Linked DNA regions of Danio rerio. The protein of the gene in region 2 purifies or fractionates together with the protein of the main gene of each other region. This does not show direct contact. Links are inferred from orthologs where the notes say so. Each region holds a gene or a part of one and is shown on either strand. Other genes may lie near its edges. The genes, in order: cop1 and trib2.

What was found.
Region 1: the proteins of trib2 (region 2) and cop1 purify together in Homo sapiens (affinity purification with mass spectrometry; 4 studies listed by BioGRID and IntAct, counting the BioPlex papers as one, with this or other methods). This does not show direct contact. The link is inferred for Danio rerio from reciprocal best matches to the Homo sapiens genes TRIB2 and COP1.

Annotation. Positions count from the first base shown.
Region 1 is NC_133177.1:38,094,907-38,098,733, reverse strand, and holds part of cop1 (E3 ubiquitin-protein ligase COP1), read right to left. Parts: intron 2,837-3,827; coding exon 2,768-2,836; intron 2,679-2,767; coding exon 2,619-2,678; intron 1,200-2,618; coding exon 1,108-1,199; intron 1,014-1,107; coding exon of another isoform or gene 1,011-1,013; coding exon 956-1,010; intron 864-955; coding exon 749-863; intron 656-748; coding exon 520-655; intron 1-519. UniProt on the Homo sapiens protein: E3 ubiquitin-protein ligase that mediates ubiquitination and subsequent proteasomal degradation of target proteins.
Region 2 is NC_133195.1:48,756,058-48,760,535, forward strand, and holds the start of trib2 (tribbles homolog 2), read right to left. Parts: upstream 2,929-4,478; 5' UTR 2,165-2,928; coding exon 1,895-2,164; intron 1,262-1,894; coding exon 969-1,261; intron 1-968.

The DNA.
Region 1 (3,827 bases), on a different chromosome or scaffold from region 2:
TTCAATGAATGTCACAAACCTGCAACAATTCATATCAATAGTGGAAAAAACAAATACTATAAAAAATCAATAGTTGCAGGTTTCCAACATTATTCAAACAGAAGAACGTCTTCCTTTGTGTTCAACAAAAAAAAAACCTAACCTAACCCAAACACTTAAACTTGTTAAAGGTGAATAAATGATGGCAGAATATATATTTTTGGGTGAACTATAACTTTAAACCAGTTTACCTAAAGACTGATTAATTAGAACGCATAGTAAATAAAAAGATATGGATGTTCTAACTGATAATACTTTATGGAAGAAGATGGAATTTATAAGTAACAAAGTAAAAAATAATTCTTTAGAGAAACAAATATTTAAGAACGCTTTGAAACAGGTCATTTTCTGCTTTTGCTAAGAAAAAAAAAAGGATGTTGTTCAGTAATACAATACTACCCTCTGCTGGCTATGATGATTTACACTAGGCTGAAGTCATACAACATGGTCTTAACTTTAATCAATCTTTTAAAACCTTACCTGGACACAATACTGGAGCCATTATAAAGGTCACTAGCATAAGAGAGGGTGGCCAGAGGCCTCACAGAGTTGTAACGGGTAAACTTTGATAGACACTCCATGAAATCATCCAGCTGGTTAACAGTCCTGCTGTCATCTAGGAACAAGAAGAGTGATTGCGTTCAATAAAACAGCATTGCAGATGTGTAAAATGAATACACAGTCCATATATAACTTTGAATCAGCTGACCCGTTATTCGAGACATCCTATTGGAAAAATAACACTGTTCCAGATCCTCAAAGTGTGCCGTCAGTCTCTTCCGCCGTGATGCAAGAGTGCTGTTGTACCATGTTTGTCTTTTACTCTAAAAGTAAGAAAGAAACGACATAAATGTGAACAAATGTCAGCATGAATTAACAGACAGGAAGAAATCATGAATAAATTAATTCAATTAACCTGTGAGTTTCCACCAAAAGGAGGCTGAATGTATTCCGAAGGGTCTATTATGCTACTGCTGGAGACAGAAAAGGAATTTAATTTATTCAGGGGAAAAAATATTGCATCGCTGTCATTAATTGTCATCTCATATTAGTGTTTTTATTTCTTACCTGGGTGCAGGAGAGGGAGCTTCAACCTGTGGCACAGTACTGTCTGAATTGCAGTCCATGTCACTTATGGGTGAATACATACCACTCATTTCCTTCAGGAAGGAAAAAAAAAAAAGATGTATTATGTATCTGTTGAGCACAGCAGTCTAAAACATGGGGTCATAGTGATTTAAAACGTGACTCTATAAACATTTGCGTTGTGACGTCTTTTTGAATATACTACCTGAAGAAAATCTGAATGGCTTTAAACATTAGAAATAGTAAGACACAAAATAAGCATTAGGTAAAGATCATGTAACACTAGAGATTGGAGTAAAGATGGTGGAAATTCGGCTTTGCAATTACAAAGACAAAAAAAAAAGCATTAAAATATATTTGAAACTTTGATTAAATAAAGAATGCTGGTGCGTATATCAGACTTTCAATATCTTATTTAAAAGTCTTACTGCCTAAAATTGTTTAATGGGAGTAAATGCACACAATATTGGAAAAAAAATTAAGAAATAATAACTATCTTAGAAATATTGCAATACATTTTGAGTACTTGAGTAGCTAGAATTAGGGGAAAATCATTAGAGTATTTGAGAGACTAATCTGCATAGAAAACATAAGTAACAATAAAAACAATGGTTCCAATTTTTTTTTAAATAACAAATAAGCCATTTTGTTTGTTGAACTAAATAATACAATATTAGAGCACATTTCATAAGACAATCTCAGGCAACACAGGTTTATCTTCACAGTACAGGTTTAACAGGATGTATTAGCAAGTACATATGTAATGTACTAGAAATTTGCAAGTAAAAATATTTTTTAAGTAAGTATATCTTATATTATGTTTTCATGTGCCATATACACAATATTTTGACTAACGGAATAATGACTAAAACATTATTATAATTGCATTTTTGTTAAAACTCACACTAAATAATTTTTTTTATAAATAAAAACAAATAAATATACTAAACATATTACTGTGCTGTAAAAAGAAAAATTAAATCATATAACACTGGTCAGCACAATAGCCTAGTAGCTTCTACACATATGGTGTACACATATGGTGTAGAAGCACTTCAGGGCATTAGATGTCGAATCCCAGCTCGAGGACATTTTCCTACCCTAGCCACACCTCTCTCTCCCACTTTGCCTTCTGACTGATTACTGTCCAACTTAATAAAGGCAAAATGTCAAAAATAAATCTTTAAAAAAATGTTAATAATTCAATGAAGACTTTCAGTGTGTTTATATCCTAATTTCTTATTTTTTTAATATTGTAATCCATCAATTTATTGTAATCCATCAAGCTTTTATACCGATATGTGCCTGCATTGTGAATCGCACCAAGTCATATTGTGATATTAATTTTATGTCTATATTTTATGCAGCCCTAGTATACAGTATAATCATGCACCTAAATATATTCATTTAAAAAGAGGCATAATATCCTTCCTAGACCACACAAATGACACCATTTCCTATCTGACAATTTTGGGTCATCATATTAAACTGACCTCCACTCGTTTAATATCCTCTTCCAAAAAGTTCAGTTCTTTTTGTAACTGTTCCAGTTGCTGTTGAAGTAAAGACAGAGAAGTTAATGACCTGAAGCTGTCATGTGTGCATTATTCAACATTCTTAAAAATAGATGTGGAGGCTCAACCTCTCTTTTATTTCTTCTGGCCTCCTTCAGGAACTCCATTAAGATCTGTCGCTGAGCAGCTTGTGATTCCTGCAGACAGAGATGAGAGATTGGTCAGTAAGGCTCATATATTATGACATTATGCAAAAATTTGTTCTTTTTTTTTTTTTTTTTTTTAAACAACCGGGATATAAATTAAACTTGATTTAATGTTTGAATTAATTTTCAAGTATAACCTAAACATAAAGCCAAATAATTTTGGTCAATATATATTAAAAACAGAACTCAGAACATATAAGACTAGTTAAAAGTACACACGTTACTGACAATTTTACAATGAATACATTATCTAAATACTTTTTAATGGTTTTGATTTATTTTGATGGCACTTTCACACTTGGGGATTATTTGCTTAGATCCAAAAAGTTAAACAATGCTGCATTGAATGTGCTTTCAGACCTGTAGATCGATTGCTTTGTTCCAAAACGAATTAAACTGGTTACAATGTTGCCAAATTAAAACAAATATATTAGTTCTTTAAAGATTAAACATATTCAATTTAAATTAGTTTTCATTTGCATTTTGATCATTAATTGAGAGCTTACAGAACGTGTTGGTTTGAATTAATCAATTATACATTTATTTATAGAGAAAATTAACAGATGACAGAGACTGTGTTCAGAGCATGAAGCAGACTGATCTTTAGTGTCAGCACTAATATGTAGTAAATAACACAGTAAATGTTGTTAAATTAATTGCTGAAATAATGAAATTAGAATGGATATGTTTCTTTATTTCAACGATTTACTTAAAGAGTTGCAGTTTCTTTGGGGTTCTTTCATATTTATAAACTATAATATCACATAAAACATTTGCAAATAAAGCATAATTTCTTTCAATAGAATAAAAATTGCTGTTTCCTGACAAACTAGCACTAAATATCAAAAGGAAAAAAAGGAGTTTGCTGTGGTAGGAGAAACCATGTGAGACCACTTATCGAAATGCCAACTTAATGCCATCCCTTCGTGCTCATTATTATTATTATACATGATAAGTCGCATTACTTTGATCTGCATGCTAA
Region 2 (4,478 bases):
CAGTTTTGGAACATCTTGCAATGTAAAAATAAGCAGTTTTTTATAATTTCATAAGCATATAGTTTATTATTAGGCTATTCATAAGCTATATTAGTAAATACAGCTGATGAAAAAGCAATTATATCGTTTAAAATTTATTTATGCCACTGCAGAAAAAAATACTGTTTTCATTGTAACCGAATGTTTATGTTTATGCAACTATTTATAAAATACTAATTTGGGTGATTGACTGCTGGCGTAATGATGTGGATGATTTAACATTACAGTTAGTAGTTAGGCAGTCAAAAACTTTTCGTTTGTCCTTCTGCAGTTAATGGACTTTCGAAAGATGCTTTCACTTAGCCAGATTCTTTGCGTTTCCACTTATACAAGAAAACAACTTGTTGCAACTGACATTGTCACTGTTCACTCGGGCAATACAACCAGTTTGGTTCACTCCGCAAGCTTATGAGCTGTGTGTCCGCTTAGCACGAGGCTCCACTGAGTGTGTGCGCACACCCAAGAACTGTGAAGGTTTTTATACTTGACGTGCTCGCCGGAAACACAAGCATTTCTCATGTGAGAACTGTGCAGACGAGTATCAAATATCCCAAATTAGAAAAGGTTGGTCAGTTAAATTATGCTACTGTAAGTAATGTTTACTCAGCAATAATTCTCCAGTACCGATAGCACGTGTTAACTTCAGAGATTAACGATACTTCGGTCTTTTATAATGTAGCACTGATACTGATAAAGTACCGAATTTCAGTACCCATCCCTACACACATACTGTTTGTTCAAACTACTCATTTGAAACTGAGACAACACAATTCTTCAGTTTTTTTTGCGACAACTTAATTGTTTTAAGTTCAATCCACTTAAATTGGTAAAAACTAATAAGTTAACTTAATTCCTTAAGGAACTCAGCATTTTTTTAACAGTCTAGTCAGAATATGCATGTTCGGTTTGCAAGCAGACATCTTTATTACCTGTCCTCATTCTTGAAGACGAACTTCCTCAGCTTGAGGTCTCGGAGGACCAGGCCGTTGTCGTGGCAGTGCGCCACAGCTGATGCTATCTGATGGAAAAGTCTGGCAGCCTCTTCCTCTCGCAGCTTCTTGCAAGTGCGAACGAAAGAGTGCATATCGCCATGGCTCCTCTCGAAGAACACGTACGCTCGCGTATCCCCCAGAAGGATCTCCACTATCTGGTTAATGTTCTCATGGGTACCCAGCACGAAGTAAGCAGCCAGTGACTCCTGATATCGACTGATATCAAACACCTGGAGGGTAGAAAGAGAGAGAGAGAGAGGGGCATTTTAAATTAAATTAGAAGCAGTCATCGATTACCCAACATCTCAGGTGGGAGCGCAAAGGTATCAGCCCACCAAAGAGAAGTGGCATCTTTAGAGCTGATGCTTAATTGTGAAACAAAAGAATGGAAATCCATGCGGCACAGAGTCGAGCACCTCTGCTGCATTTTCAAGTCCCCAAAACATACACTGAATTTTGATGTTGCTTAGTAACAGACACCTAAAACAGAGAGATGGGCTAAATATAACAGAAGGGATGGACATGGCAGGCCATTCCCTTTCATCTGAAGATAAGAGGTTTTCACTAATGCCTATTCGGAGTGTCTTGGGTTTTGAAGTCATGCAGACTTGCACGCATGAATGCATGGTTGTATGCACACACACACACACACTTAAAGGGTATTCCCTCATGCTTTTTTTTTTTGCACGTGACTATAACTCATCACTCCATGCATCACAAAAGAAAAGCCATTCATTCTGCTAATGCATGCATGCAATGAGCCAGATGCATGTCATGCTTTGATCCCTATCAATAGCTGATGCAATTGCATGCATGAGTGTTCCCATCCAAAAATATCACGCATAGAGAAGCGAGTTCCTTACCTTGCACACGAGCTCTTCCCCACTGTGCAGGTGGGTGGCTCTGAAAACGTGGTCTCCCTCGATGGGCTCCAACAAAAGGTAATTTCCAATGCAAGAAATGCAGTGCGAGGAGTCCGGGGTCTCGGGGGGGCTGGGAGATCCTAAATTGGGACTGAAACTCTGGCTGGATTCTGTAGTCCTTAGGCAAGAGAGCTCCTCAAAGTCGTGCGCTTTGTGCCTCGATCTCCCATAACGCGAAATGTTAATGGGACTGGATCTCTGTATGTTCATGAGTATAGGAGGAGGTTCGTCCGGATCAGGAGGTTGATTCAGACGGATTCAATGGGAGGTAGAAGCGAATGCCAAAAAAACAAACAAACAGATGCCCTCTATTTAACACTGGGCATGAATGCAAGCGGCGATTCCCCTCGACTTTAATAATGCTGATTGCAATGCCAATGTGGCGTCATTTGAGCACACATGCGATGACGTGCATGCATGAATTGTGACCTCTATGCTTCACGGTGCCCTCAAAGAAAAAAAAAAGAAGCACGGTTTGGTTAACACACGCGAAAATGCATGTAATACGTCGCGATTGTGAATGTAAAGAGTGTGACGTCACAATCGATGCAGCGCAGCAGGTACAAATTAACAATTATTTCCTTCCCTTTTTGTGCATGAAATTTAAAGTGCCAGCCGGGTTCGGATATCCTGAGAGGGCGCTCCGGGTTCATTCATGCGGGCTTCCGAGCGAATCATGTCCGTGTATCTACCTAAATATAGCCAGGGAGATATTTTTTTTGTCCTCCAGGTCGCGAGCCGCCTTTTGTTACGCCTGGGAAGTCGATGTCCTCTCTCCGCGCGAGCACGCAAAACTCCGACGGATGGATATAATTCGGAGACAAAGGCGAGAAGGGACGGCCGACGTTCTCCCCCTGGGCCTATCCCTTGTTTCAGCAACAGGACACCATCATCATCTTACTTACGTGGCTGGAAATCTAGTCCATTAAGCGCGGGTCAGCCACAAACACACACACACGAGCCGCTGACTGACTGACTGCGCTCGCGGGACTGACTGGAGCTCCACGCGCGCGACCAGCCCCCATGACGTCACCCACGAGGCGCGCTCTCATTGGCCGCTCGCTCGGAGCTGACACATCCACAGTCCGCGCGGTCATGTGAGATGATTGTTGTCCTTGGAGTTTTAATTGAAGCAGCCGAAATTATCTGTCTATAGGGTGAATGTAGACAGGGGGAGAGAAGTGTGTTATGATTAAATGTCAGTTGGTTTCTGCAATGAAGCATAAATGACAAAGCTCTGGAGGAAGGGATTGCCAGTTTGGAAGATGAAGACGTTTTTGTATTTGGTAAGCTAATGCAATAAAAAGTTTTAGCAGAAGCAATGATCCTTAGTGGTTCATAAAGTGCAAGAAAAAAAGATACAAAAAAAAAATGAATGTCTATGGTTCCTGATGATTACTGTTGCATAATTACTAGAGGTGGAATGCAGGACACACACACATTTTTTAAACTATGATTTATGTTTATGTGCATATTACAGGAATGCATAGATTATTTTTTTAATCAAGATTAATCTAAATTAGTCTCTGAATTAATCTACATTAATCTAGATTAAAATGGCTCATTTGAATTCGGCCGAAGGCATTCAGAACGTGTGCTACCCAAATAAAAAGTCTTTGAGAAAGGGTTTTCAAGCCAGGTGGCGCATTAGACCAGGGGCTCATCTCCTGTTTCCAAAATGCATCACAATCTGCTTGAGAAACTGTTCTACTGTGATAACTGGTGATGAAAATAAATGATGTCCAATAAGATGTACTTGTGTTTATTAATTCAGTTAAACATGATTTTTGAACTGTAAGCCTTGATAAGCTCGAAACAGCATTTTTTTGATTACCTTAATCAGTCTAAATTCAAGACTGAACAAAACAGAAATGTAATTAAGACATGTGGAGTGTGCATATATTAGTGGCAATGTGGAAGTAAACACTGCAATCAAACTACTACCGTCATGTAGGACTTTGTCATATTTTCCGACAAGTACCACACACATGACTGTCAGTAAAGGACCACACACAAACATCGCGAAATGCGGAAGTATTTTCTTTCCATTTGGCATACGTTATTAAATTCCATAAAACGCTCACCAGTCCTTACTCCTTATTTGCGTCTAATACCCCAGTTTGTCATGACGGCATGAATGAAATGTTCATGAGTTAAAGTGAAACTGCCGAACTGCAGTTAAAGTCAGGTAACGTTATCCTGCTGATTTGATTCAGAAGGGCACTTTTTTGTCAGACGGCTCACCGGTCAGGTATACATCCACGCTAAAATATCAAAGTGAAAGTCACCATAGCTCGCATATAGACCCAGCTCAACTTTGAGAATAGATTAACGGCGATTTTTTTTTTTTATTGCGCAATAAGAGTTTTTCGTTAACGCAGCACGTTAACACCGATAACAGCCCACCACTGTTTTTTTATATATATATATGTCGAAGCAGTGGCGCAGTAGTGCTGTCGCCTCACAGCAAGAAGGTTGCTGGGTCGCTGGTTCGAACCTCGGCTCAGTTGGCGTTTCTGTGAGG